3 linked regions of the Macaca fascicularis genome follow. The protein of the gene in region 2 interacts with the protein of the main gene of each other region in a pairwise test. Links are inferred from orthologs where the notes say so. Each region holds a gene or a part of one and is shown on either strand. Other genes may lie near its edges.

Region 1 (4,119 bases), about 32 Mb from region 2:
ATATTTTGATATATATAAGATTTAACCATAAAAATAGTTACATACAATATGTGTTTCATTTTAGAACCTCCTCTTTTTTATGAAACTTTTTGTTTCAAATTTCTACTTTCCATTTTTAAGCAGTTTATAATTTTACAATGATAACAGCAAACCCCTACTTACATATTACATCGACTTTTTACAACTTTGTTATGTAATACTCTTAAAGAGCTCAACTGCCAAAAACAATCACTTCTCTATGTTCTTCTTTATATATCAGTATATTTATCCACACAAGAAATTCTAGACTTTGATATGATTATAGAGGCTTATTAATGACTCTTTGCCTCAGAAGTTGTTTCAAAATTCCTGCCTTTGTTTCAGACCCTTATTAACTTATTCCAAAGTAAAGATTTTAAAATTATTCCCAGGGTTTAATCAGAAAATTTTCTTATAAAAAGGAACATAGTTGAGACTCTTTGACAATAACAAACAAACAAAGTACCATCTAATGGTGTCATTTTGAAATTTCCCTAAGAGAAGGTTCTGAGCTTGTCCAGTCATTGAATGCCAGCATGTCTCACCTTATCACCATCTCTTCCAATTCTCTTTTTTTTTTTTTTTTTTTTGAGACGGAGTCTCGCTTTGTCGCCCAGGCTGGAGTGCAGTGGTGCGATCTCGGCTCACTGCAAGCTCTGCCTCCCGGGTTCACGCCATTCTCCTGCCTCAGCCTCCCGAGTTGCTGGGACTACAGGCGCCCACCACCTCGCCCGGCTAGTTTTTTCTATTTTTTAGTAGAGACGGGGTTTCACCGTGTTAGCCAGGATGGTCTCGATCTCCTGACCTTGTGATCCGCCCGTCTTGGCCTCCCAAAGTGCTGGGATTACAGGCTTGAGCCACCGTGCCCAGCCTTCCAATTCTCTTTGTTTTAACTAGACTAAATCTCAGAATTATTTCACTTGCTCATTTAACAAATATTAATTGAAGTATTACCAAGTTTCAGGCATTAATGCCTCCACAAATCAATTCAGTAAGTATCTACTAAACTTCTACCATATGTCAGGTCTCACTAGGCACTGGGAATAGACAGAAACAAGCCTGAAACAAGTCCTGTCCTCAAGGAGTTCACAGTTTAGTGAGGGCAAAGGTACTTTAAATCAAATTGGATGACTGAATGAGAATTAGAGGGAAAGCATCATGTGTTATGGAAATGGAGGTTAGGTGGCCAGGTTGGCTGGAGGGTAGAAGGAAAAAGGAAGAGAAGCAGAGAGTGATGAAGTGACATTTAAATTGAGCCCTGGGTGACTTGAAGTATTTAGCAAGGCAAAGAGGTGAAGAGAGAAAGACACATTTTAGACATTACAGCATGGCTGGAGGAGTGGGTCACCTTTCTTTCTTCTCTCTGTCTCCAGATATAAAAACTTTACAGAGAAAAACACCCCTTAAATATACTTAAAATTTATGTAATATTGCCTTTAAAACATCTCAAAATTATGATAATTTTTTAGACTTAAAAAGGGGGAAATGCATTTGCAACAAGACTTTTTTTTGTTTTGTTTTGTTTTTTTTTTTGAGATAGGGTCTCACTCTGTTGCCCAGGCTGGAGTACAGTGGTGCAATCTTGGCTCACTGCAACCTCTGCCTCCCAGGATCAGGCAATTCTCCTACCTCAGCACCCAGTAGCTGGGACCACAGGTGCACCCCACCACACATGGCTAATTTTTTGTATTTTTGGTAGAGACAAGATTTTGCTGTTGTTTACGCTGGTCTTGAACTCTTGAACTCAGACAAATCCACCTGCCTCAGCCTCCAAAGTGCTGGGATTATAGGCATGAGTCACCACGCCCAGCCTTGAGAATTTAATTTAACAATTTAAACATTTGCATTAAAATAATTTTAATTTTCATATCTTCTTTGGCTTTCAAAACTATTTTGATCTGTAGTACATACAAATGTTGAGCAAAGTCAATTTTCAGAGAGCTATCCTATCAACAAACTATATTATAGTTTAATTCTTATAAGACAGGAACTTTGACCAAAAATGAAAATCTTTTAAGTTACACATTATTTTAAACTGGAAAAAAAAATAAGCCACAATAATCATTTAGTTGAATCTCTATTTTACAGATGAGAAAATGAAAGATTAGAGCAGGAGGAGTGACATGTTCGTATTGTCACACAGTTGTAGCTGAGTCAGAGCCAGTACTACCAAACCAGGTCTAATTCTAGTTTACCTAATCTAATTTAAATAGTTGACGTTGTCTTACTTGAATTAAATGATTAAAGTTTAATCAATATACACTTGATAGACTTTAATATGTACTCTGTACAAAACCTAGAATTTCTTTCTAATCAGATCTGTTTCCACGGCCTGCCCTCAAAGATGCTCCTGAACATCACACAGACTAAGATATGTGTGCAAAAACCAGAAGAACGGGGGACTTATTGCCCAGTGACACAAAAGCAGAATGTTCTTTTAAAAGACTTAATCAGGCAAACTAGATATAAATACAAAAGCTCTTCAAACGTCTTAAAAGTTACAAGGATAAATTAAATTTACTTCACATAGCTGTTGTGGAAAGCTCGTGAGTGCATTCTGGTGAAGCTCCAGCTTTTCAAGATGCTCCAAATGACCACTTATACAGGATTTCTGGCTTAGGGCATCAATATCTCTTAGTTCATTTGCTGAAAGGTCTAGTGATGTAATATATTCTCTCTCAGAAGCCAGAGAAGAAATGCTGTCTGAATGCCTCATATGGGATTGAAGTTTTGATGACCCTTTTGTCAAAAACAGACAGACAATGGAAATATAAGCAAATAATTTAAATTCATGTAGTGAAAGTTTACTGAGCACCTCCTAGCAATCAGGCTTTCTTCAGGGCACTGAAGATTCAGTAGAAAACCAAACTATGGAGTTTACATTCCAGTGGCAGAGATGAACAGTAGATAAAAAGCGTTTAATCAGGTGGTATAAATGGTGTGGGAAAAAGAAAAACTGGAAGAGAGGATGAAGAGTGGCACTGGTGGGAGGTGTTATTTACATTTCAGAAAACTTGTAAAAATAAAGACTAACGTGTTCTATAATATTCAAGAAAGGTAAATTTTAAATGTATACTTCATTTTTCTATAGCTTATGGGAAATTATGTAAGATGAAACTGGCCCCAAGAATATTTGAATAATTGGAGGAAATTCAACCAAACACTGTATTCTGCCCAAAGTATCTATTTACTTATGATTACATCCAAATACTTACTGAGTGAATCATCTGAAGATAATATTTTTCTTTTTCTTCTCAGTAAATCTTCATGATCAAAAATGGGCCCCTATTAAAAAAAATGATATTTATAATAAAATTGCTGTCACTTGTTGGACAAGAGGACATTTTTATAAGGAAAGAACCATGAAATTTTAATAGGGTTAAATGGTATTTATAATTATGGGAAAAAATAGGCAAGTAAAAACTAAGAACCCAATTATGAAGATAAAAGAAAACAATTCAGTTTTGTGCTCAAATGACCTTAGTATCTACTCTTTCTCTTTTGTTTTAAATATAAGGAAACTGAAAAACAGAAAGGTTGAGTCAAAAAGCTATATCTATATAATTTCTCTCATTAACCAAACTACTTTTTATAACTAAATTTATATATAAATTCGAAAGAGCATATATAAAGCTGAGAGCTAATTTAACTGATTCAACTATAGTCATTCATTTCACCCATCTTAAGGTCTAGAATTAACATATAAAAACACTGATATTTTTAGTACTCAGCTATAATCAAAATTAGAGCATAGGTTAGAATAGATCCTTCAAAGTGAACCTGAGAATAAGGTGGCTCCCAATTTCCTCAACTAGAATGATAAAACTCCTCATGCAAATATGCAATAGTCCTTCTATAGTTCCAAAACAGACAGGAGGTTGAAATAATAATAATGGTGCCTAAAAAATTAAATAACTTTCAATACACCTATAGATATAGATATAGATATAGATATAGATATAGACATAGACAAAGATAAGCAATGAATTATATTATGCTACTCCATCTTGTTCAGTGTCCTTCAGACTTCTGTCTGGTTTCTTAGAAATCACTATAAGATTTCTAGCTAAAGTGTTCATGGGACCATTAGGTACAGGTCTA
Region 2 (3,959 bases):
GTCCCAGTTTAGACCAAAATCTCAACAAATGATGAAAGTTTTGACTCAGAGGAACAGAAATTGGGCTTATCTGGAAAATAGTTAAGCAAGAACAGTTTTTTATGCAATCATGTTTATTCTGCTGACTGCCTCATTCAATTTGATTTAAAGACATGACTTTTTAAAAATAATATTTTATATCTTTTCTCATTTCTCAATTTTCAGGCTTCTGCTTTCTCTGTTTTGGCTTCCTAGAAGAAACTTGTGTCAGGGAAAGCAGCATTACAACAAATCGTTAAAACAATCAGTTCAAAGCCAAGGCTATTTTAAACAGTCTTATCTGAACTGAAATGAGAATTCTGAGTGAGATACTTTAAGTGGTTCCCACTTTATTTCTACACGAGTGAGGTCATATCACTACACGAGTGAGCTGAGATCATGCCATTACACTCCAGCCTGGGTGACAAGAGTGAAACTCCATCTCAAAAAATTTTTTAAAAAAGTATAAAGTCCTGAAAGGAAAGGATCTGTGGTAGAGGCAATGTCAGTACTACCAGGACAAGATGACTAGCCTCTCTCTGGTGACCATCGTCTGCTCATTTGGAGACACATCAGGTCCACAACTAAAACACTTTCTAATAAATACTGCAACGTATTTTAGAGGGGGGTGTGTCTTACCTGTATGACCTATGAGTGGAAGGACTGTTTGAAGAATATCCAAATTCCATAGTGTAATGTGATCGCTCTGTGGCTGGGGATGGTGGAGGGTTCAAAATCTAAAAGAAAAATAATTAAAACATTAAAGTAACAACACAGAAACGATTAGACTTTCTTTCAGCTTTTCTTCCTTATCTCTATTAGTGTTTCTTAACAATATATCTTAGCACAATTCTTCTTTTCCAAAGAACTGACCTCAAACAGTACTTTGGGACTATGGCTTCCTCATTCCCTAAGACCTCATCATGGCTAAAAAGTGCAAAATGACAAAAACGAAAATCTGTAACCTAAAAATCATTGGTCAGCACAGCTAAGTCCTGGTTATTTAAAATTATAAGTATTTAGAGAAAAATTATTGATTTAGGAGAAATTCCAGGTGTGCTTCCTCTTTTGGGAAGTCGTAAAATGAAGGTCCTCATCCCTCAAGAGGTACCATTCAGTAGTTCCACTTTTACTTGAAATGTGAAAGTAATGCCCAATGCTTTCAAATATTCTGGTTATTACACAGTAACTTAAAAGACTTACAAGCATTGGGGGGCGGGATGTGGTAAATCCTTCTTTGAGCCCTTTATGCCTAAATTTCACATTCAAAAACGACTTTTACATTACTATCACTGATCACCCACATTTAAATGAGTTAAATATCTAAGATCCTATGTATGCTGCATTCAAAGGAAAACAGACTACTTACTGCAGGGAAGTAAGTGCCTTTGGTGCTTGAAGAACTACTTGATGATGCTCCTGTTACATGGGCTCGGTCGTAGGGGGGTCCACTGCTTCCCCCCATGATACTGAGAGAGCTGATCATTGATTTACCTCGAGACATTCCTAAAACAAAAGGAGGATAAAAACTGAAGATGCGTAAGATCTATAAAAATGTATCAAGCAATTTTATTCAACAGTAGGATGACAAATATCAATAGTCAAGTAGTCTGATTTTAAAATAACTTACACTCTATTCCTATAATTGAAAACATTTAATGGAGAAAGGAAATGAATGTTCTCTAGAAGTGAATGCTTCCACTGAAAAAGCTGGCCTAGAACAAAGCCAAGAACAGCTCCCACCTTCTCCCTCCCCTGGTAGAAGCAGAGCTATTTAAAATAAGGGCTTTTCAACCTCTTGGAGGATTTGAAAGGATTGTAAAGGGTAGAGGTTGTGAGGCAGGGTATATTACATAACAGACTTGCTCAAAAGAAAACAAAAAGCATTTTTTAGGGTACAAACAACATATGAAAGAGTATTTTTTCATCTAATGAATATAAATGTTTCTAGAATCAAAACTACCAGTGCTAAAGAAGAAATTCTATTTTTTCCAAGAAGCTTCCCAAATTTCACTAACTGAAAATAGGTATGGCAACAAAGACACATTACCATTAACAGTTTAAAAACCATGTTTGTCTACTTAAGAGTTACACCCATAGTAAGTTCCTATTTTTAGAGGGTTTTTGCAAGGCACCTCCTTCTCCATATTCATTAAAAGGAAGGCTTCTTTTAATTAAGGGCACCAGAAAACATTAAAAAGAACGCCACTTCCCTAGAGCAACATGGCCTACCCAAGTGTAAAACTTCTGGCCACTCAGCTATGCCCAAACTAGCCCTTTGTCCCCTGTTAGCACATGAAGTCAGGAGAAAACATAAGACATATTCCTCCCTTCTATCATCCAGCTATTTACAAATCTTTGTTGGCTGAAGGGAGTCTTACATAATTTTTGGCCTCCTTTTATTCATGGGCTCCATAGTACTAGAGTTCCCTGGTGGTGAACTTAAAGAACCTGTGGTTTATAACTCTTTCACTAAATGACTGGCTGATTCACCTTCTGTAGCATGCATCCAGAATTGTAGTCAGAGAGGCTTAGAGCTTGCATATGTATTTGCTTTATAGGCTCTGACAATTCCTACCAAACCATATCTAAGGCCTTCTGTGTAAAGAGAAGGTGCTAATAGTAAAAAAGAACATTTGTTCTTCTAATTGTTTAAACTCAGAGTAATATGGTTTCAAACAGACTCTAGGTAGTATTCTCTTCCACAGTGGAAACCTGGCAGTCTTGCAGGACCAAAGACTTGATACTCAATGGATCCATTCTGACTCACCTGGAAGAGATCCTGACAAAGAACTTGGGTGTGGCACATAACCAAGAGGCACAGAAGCTGGTCCATGAACTACATAGTCATTAGTCATGGTTTCCCCATCTCCCTTCATACGTGGACACAACATCCTCTGGCAGATAAAGTATATAGTTCCAGACACAAAAATGGTGACAATTACTCCAATAACAGAACCAACTGTATTGGTGGCCTGTGGTGCTGGTTCTTCAGTTGGATCTACAATGAAGAATGCAGTATGGTTATTTAAAAGAAAAAACAACTGTATATTCAAAATAGTAATCAAAAAGAGGGCTTGCTAATAGGAATGTGAAGCTATAAGCCTAATGAAGATAACTCATAAGCACTTTTCTTTTTTATGAATACATACACACCACGCCCCAAGGACATATGGAATAAATGTCATCATTAGGAATCAAAATGAACTACCCTTAAGTGAAGACAGAAATAAAACAATAGGTTGCAAAGTGTAATTATAAACTGACAGAAACAAAGATGGTAAATGAAGTACAGATTTAAACACCATTAAGAAGCTTTAAATAAATAAACAGATAAAATCCATTCTACTTCATTCTATATACCATACAAATGAACAAGGTTATTCCAAGATTTCAGGAAAAAATTTATGGCCAGAAGGGATAAACCTAGGCAAGTCATCAAATGTTTTACCTGGAATGGTGAAGAAGCCAAAATCAGCTCTGAGCACATGTTAGATTTTAGATTTGAATAGTGACATGTAGGCCTGATGAATGAAAACTGGAAACTAAAGATGAGCCTTAGCTCTCAAATCCCCTATGCTGCTGGCCTTCAGGCTGTCTAGTTGCCTGAGACCAAGGAACATAAGGTCTTTAATACCTGATTAATGGAGGACTCACAAAGAAAGGCCAGATTGCCAGAAGAGGACACTTGCCCCAGGGATTCACCTTCGCTGCATCCCTGAGCTACCTGAGGCTTTAAGAAGCAGAGGCCATCAATATCAGAGGTAGAGGGAAAGTGAGCTTATCAAAATTAGAGCATTACTCTTTCTATTCAGAGGGAAAATTCTTCCATTCTGAACAGTTAAATTTTATCTCACAGTTGCAGATCCTTTAAAAAACTTCCTCCTGCTTCATCTTACCTCAAATCTCCCATTCATATAGCTAAACTCATCCTCTGACAG
Region 3 (4,119 bases), on a different chromosome or scaffold from region 2:
AGACAAGGAATTGGGGGATACCCTAGGGGACCTTGAAGCTGGGACACAGGGAGTAGCTGCCTGGCTGTTGTGGGGAGTGAGTAGGGAGGGGCAGCCGAGAGAGTTGGTCGTATACTGAGACTCTCTCCCTTTGCCCTCAAGAACCGAGAGCTGCAGATCATGCGTAAGCTGGACCACTGCAATATTGTGAGGCTGAGATACTTTTTCTACTCCAGTGGGGAGAAGGTGAGACCTCGAGGTGGTGGTGGTGGTGGGTTGCTCCACCTCGACTCCAGCCATTTTCTTGCCCACCTGCCTTTCCCCCACTGCTGCCTGCACACCTTCCTTCCCCCTTCCTCACTCTTCTCACAGTGCCTCACGCCTCTCCTTTGCTCCCTGCAGAAAGATGAGCTTTACCTAAATCTGGTGCTGGAATATGTGCCCGAGACAGTGTACCGGGTGGCCCGCCACTTCACCAAGGCCAAGTTGACCATCCCTATCCTCTATGTCAAGGTATGCTGGCAGGCGGGCTGCTGGGACCCAGACCCAGAAAGCCAGGGGCTCTGGAGCCTCCCACCTTTTATGGGATCCCTCATCTGCCAAGTTTGTGTTGGTTTTCGGAGGCCCCATGACCCCCAGAGATGGAGCTTGCCTGACACAGGGGAGGGCCAAGGCAGGCAAGGCCTAACTGAATCAGGAAGGCAGCCTGACCTGGGGCTGCAGAGGCTGCCAGGTACTTGCTTAGGTCCATATAGGGAGTCCAGTGGCACCAGAGATGTTGGAGTTAGCTCAGGATAAGGGGTGGTGGGGACCAGGACTGCATAGGAAGCTGCTGAGGCCAGAGTTCGGGCCTTTAGAGCCTTGGTTGGGGGTAGGTGGGAAGGAGTTAGGGTTGGAGGAAGGTTAGCATCCACACAGCCAGGAATGCATCTCCGTCCATCATCTGTGCAGGCTCATTCCTCAGTGCCTGGTGCCGTGCCCTGGGTGTTACAGACCTTCAGGAGGTGTTTGAATGAATGAATGAATGAATGAATGAATGAATGAATGAATGAATGTATGATTGCAGCCCAGGGATGATGTGGCAAACAAGCTGGAGCAGCCTACTGCATTGGAAGGAGGTGGGTGGGTTTGTTTGCTGGAGGTCACTTGGGGCCCAGCTGCTGCTTCTGCTGGCTTTACGTACCCAAGCCTGGGTGAGCCGATGTGGACTCTACCAGTGGTTGTGGCTGTTGGACCTCACCTCCCAGGAGGGGAGCTCTCTGGTTTGGCCAATCTGTCCTGTGGCTGCCTGCACACGGGGCCCAGGGCTGAGGAATTCCAGACGCACCACTGACTGCGACGCAGGCCTTGCCCTTGAAGAGCTCTCAGTTTGGTAGGGTAGACAGGCATCATCACAGAAAACTATTAAATGAACTAGCTGCTGCCATACTAGAAGGAACACAGGGAATTCTGGAAATGGAGGAAGCACCCAGCCTGGTGTGTGGGTGAGAAGGATCAAGGAAAGCTTCCTGGAGGAGACCAAGCACAGGGCAAGGGAGCGGCATCTTTGGCCGAGGGGAAGTGGAATAAAGGGAAGGGGGTCTAGAAAGCAGCCCTGTCAGGCCCTGGTCTGTCTAGGCCCTGGGGGATGCAGCAGTGACTGAAACTCAAAATCCTGCTCTCATGGTACTTCTGTTCTAGTCAGTGGGAGGGAGAGTGGCAGGAAAATGAAGCTGGCGAGGGGGCAGGCTCAGGGGTGGTTTTGATTGTCGGATTAAGGAGCCAGTGGTTTTGGTGAGGGGGAAGCTGAGTGCCTGGCTCCCTAGCCTGTTTTATGACAACCTCCTGACATATCTTACTCTTCAGGCTTCTGCCAAGGGTTGTGATTAAAGCAGTGGTTCTCAGAGTGTGGTCCGGGGACCAGCATCAGTGCTGGAGAGCTTGTTGCAAATGCCTGATTCAGAACTCACTGACCAGAAACTCTTGAGAATGGGGCCCAGCAGTCCCTGTGTTTTTGTTTTTTGAGACAGGGTCTCACTCTGTCACCCAGGCTGGAGTGCAGTGGCGGGATCTCAGCTCACTGGAACCTCTGCCTCCTGAGTTCAAGTGATTCTCTTGCCTCAGCCTCCCGAGTAGCTGGGATTACAGGCGTGCACCACCACGCCTGGCTAATTTTTGTATTTTTAGTAGAGACAGGGTCTCAACATGTTGGCCAGGCGGGTCTCGGCCTCCCAAAGTGCTGCGATTATAGGCGTGAGCCACCACGCCCGGCCAGTAGTCCCTGTTTTAACAAGTCCTCCAACTGACTGTGGTGCACACTAAGAGAACCAAGGGTTTCAAACGGGTTTCCCCAAAGCTGTGGTGGCACCAGGGAGAGTGGGCCTGGAAGGGCTCTTCAGGCCAAGCTGGTGGGGTAGTGGTGCTGTATGGGGAAAGCCGGGCTAAAGTTCTGCTGTCCTGTGCCTGCCCCAGGTGTACATGTACCAGCTCTTCCGCAGCTTGGCCTACATCCACTCCCAGGGCGTGTGTCACCGTGACATCAAGCCCCAGAACCTGCTGGTGGACCCTGACACTGCTGTCCTCAAGCTCTGCGATTTTGGCAGGTGGGCCTGGGGCGTTTTGAGTGGCTGAAGAGGCAGGGGGGACCCCAGCCCTTGCCCCGTGTTTACCCCTGCCCATCTTTTCCCACAGTGCGAAGCAGTTGGTCCGAGGGGAGCCCAATGTCTCCTACATCTGTTCTCGCTACTACCGGGCCCCAGAGCTCATCTTTGGAGCCACTGATTACACCTCATCCATCGGTCAGAGTTATGGGAGGGGGGTGGGGGGAGTGGCAATCTGGGAAATTTCGGAGTTTACTGTGCGCTGTATGCCAAGCTTGGTGATGAAAGCTTAACTTCTGTTCTTGTATCCAGTCCTCACAAACTTAGGAGGCTGATGCTGTTGAATGCTCATTTTACAGATGAGCTTAGAGCTGTGAGGCTGCCTGCCTGCACTGGCACCACTGGGACTGGGCAGGGCTGGGATTTGAAAGCTGACCTGACTCCAGAGTCCATACCAGCTCTGGAACCTCCCTGTCAGCCCTCTGTTCTCAGCTAGGGGGAAGGGCTGCCAGAGACCTTGGGGGAACCAGGAAGCAAAGCTTTGCCACCATGAAGGTGCAACTTGCTCCCAGGGCCTCTGTGTCCTTCCGTTTGTGGGGACAACTGCCATTTTCCAGGCATGAGGGGAAGCCTGAATTGAGGGAATGGGCATGAAAGACTTTGAAAGGGTACCTTCCACAGCAGCGTGACAAACTGTGGAGTCCTTAGGTATGAACTCGTGCTGTGGGGGGTCAAGGTACAAAGCAGGGAGGAGTGAGACTGCCAGGCTGTAGCTCTTCTCATGGGCAGGATAAAGGTTGGAACAAGAGGAAGGCAGTCCAGGATTTAAGGCTGTACCTTCCTGTGGCCCAAAGAACATGGGTGCCTGTTGGCAGGTTTGGGCCTAGTTTGGTCTGTCGTCCAAGGCTAGTGGGAGAGAGCGAGCTCATTGAGGTCCTTAGCAGAGAGAGGAACTGAGGGCTGGAAACACACCTATACTAGAGAGTGGAGCAAAGGCTTGCAGACCTGCAGGGTCAAGGTTAGGCCCATGTTTCTAAGCTGCATGTGTCCTTGGGACAGGTGCTTCGTCTTTGAGAAAACAGGGCTCCTGACACTCTTAGGATGGCCATGAAGAATAAAAGCACTGGGAGGTTGGTGGCCCTACTCGCCTAGCCCTGACGCTGCCCCCATTTCCCCTTAGATGTTTGGTCAGCTGGCTGCGTACTGGCGGAGCTCCTCCTGGGCCAGCCCATCTTCCCTGGGGACAGTGGGGTGGACCAGCTGGTGGAGATCATCAAGGTGAGGGGCGGGGCCGGGGTGGGCAGGGGGTGGGGCTGAGGGATGGGGCCCTTGTCTCAGAACCCCCCCTCTCTTTACAGGTGCTGGGAACACCAACCCGGGAACAAATCCGAGAGATGAACCCCAACTACACGGAGTTCAAGTTCCCTCAGATTAAAGCTCACCCCTGGACAAAGGTGGGGCAGGACTAGGGGCTCAGGGCAGTATGGCTGAGAGCTGGTCCCCTTTGGAGGTCAACTATTCTGTGGACCTGGCCTCAGAATCATGGCTTGGGAGGATTTGA

The links.
Region 1: the proteins of LRP6 (region 2) and LRRK2 interact in binary tests that used the Homo sapiens proteins (3 or more experiments, as listed by UniProt). The link is inferred for Macaca fascicularis from reciprocal best matches to the Homo sapiens genes LRP6 and LRRK2.
Region 3: the proteins of LRP6 (region 2) and GSK3A interact in binary tests that used the Homo sapiens proteins (3 or more experiments, as listed by UniProt). The link is inferred for Macaca fascicularis from reciprocal best matches to the Homo sapiens genes LRP6 and GSK3A.

What each region holds. Positions count from the first base shown.
Region 1 is NC_088385.1:46,775,848-46,779,966, reverse strand, and holds part of LRRK2 (leucine-rich repeat serine/threonine-protein kinase 2), read right to left. Parts: intron 3,304-4,119; coding exon 3,234-3,303; intron 2,758-3,233; coding exon 2,540-2,757; intron 1-2,539. UniProt on the Homo sapiens protein: Serine/threonine-protein kinase which phosphorylates a broad range of proteins involved in multiple processes such as neuronal plasticity, innate immunity, autophagy, and vesicle trafficking.
Region 2 is NC_088385.1:14,886,765-14,890,723, forward strand, and holds part of LRP6 (low-density lipoprotein receptor-related protein 6), read right to left. Parts: intron 3,020-3,959; coding exon 2,789-3,019; intron 1,525-2,788; coding exon 1,388-1,524; intron 756-1,387; coding exon 658-755; intron 1-657. UniProt on the Homo sapiens protein: Component of the Wnt-Fzd-LRP5-LRP6 complex that triggers beta-catenin signaling through inducing aggregation of receptor-ligand complexes into ribosome-sized signalosomes.
Region 3 is NC_088393.1:49,289,050-49,293,168, reverse strand, and holds part of GSK3A (glycogen synthase kinase-3 alpha), read left to right. Parts: intron 1-141; coding exon 142-225; intron 226-381; coding exon 382-492; intron 493-2,430; coding exon 2,431-2,561; intron 2,562-2,649; coding exon 2,650-2,756; intron 2,757-3,738; coding exon 3,739-3,836; intron 3,837-3,916; coding exon 3,917-4,012; intron 4,013-4,119. UniProt on the Homo sapiens protein: Constitutively active protein kinase that acts as a negative regulator in the hormonal control of glucose homeostasis, Wnt signaling and regulation of transcription factors and microtubules, by phosphorylating and inactivating glycogen synthase (GYS1 or GYS2), CTNNB1/beta-catenin, APC and AXIN1.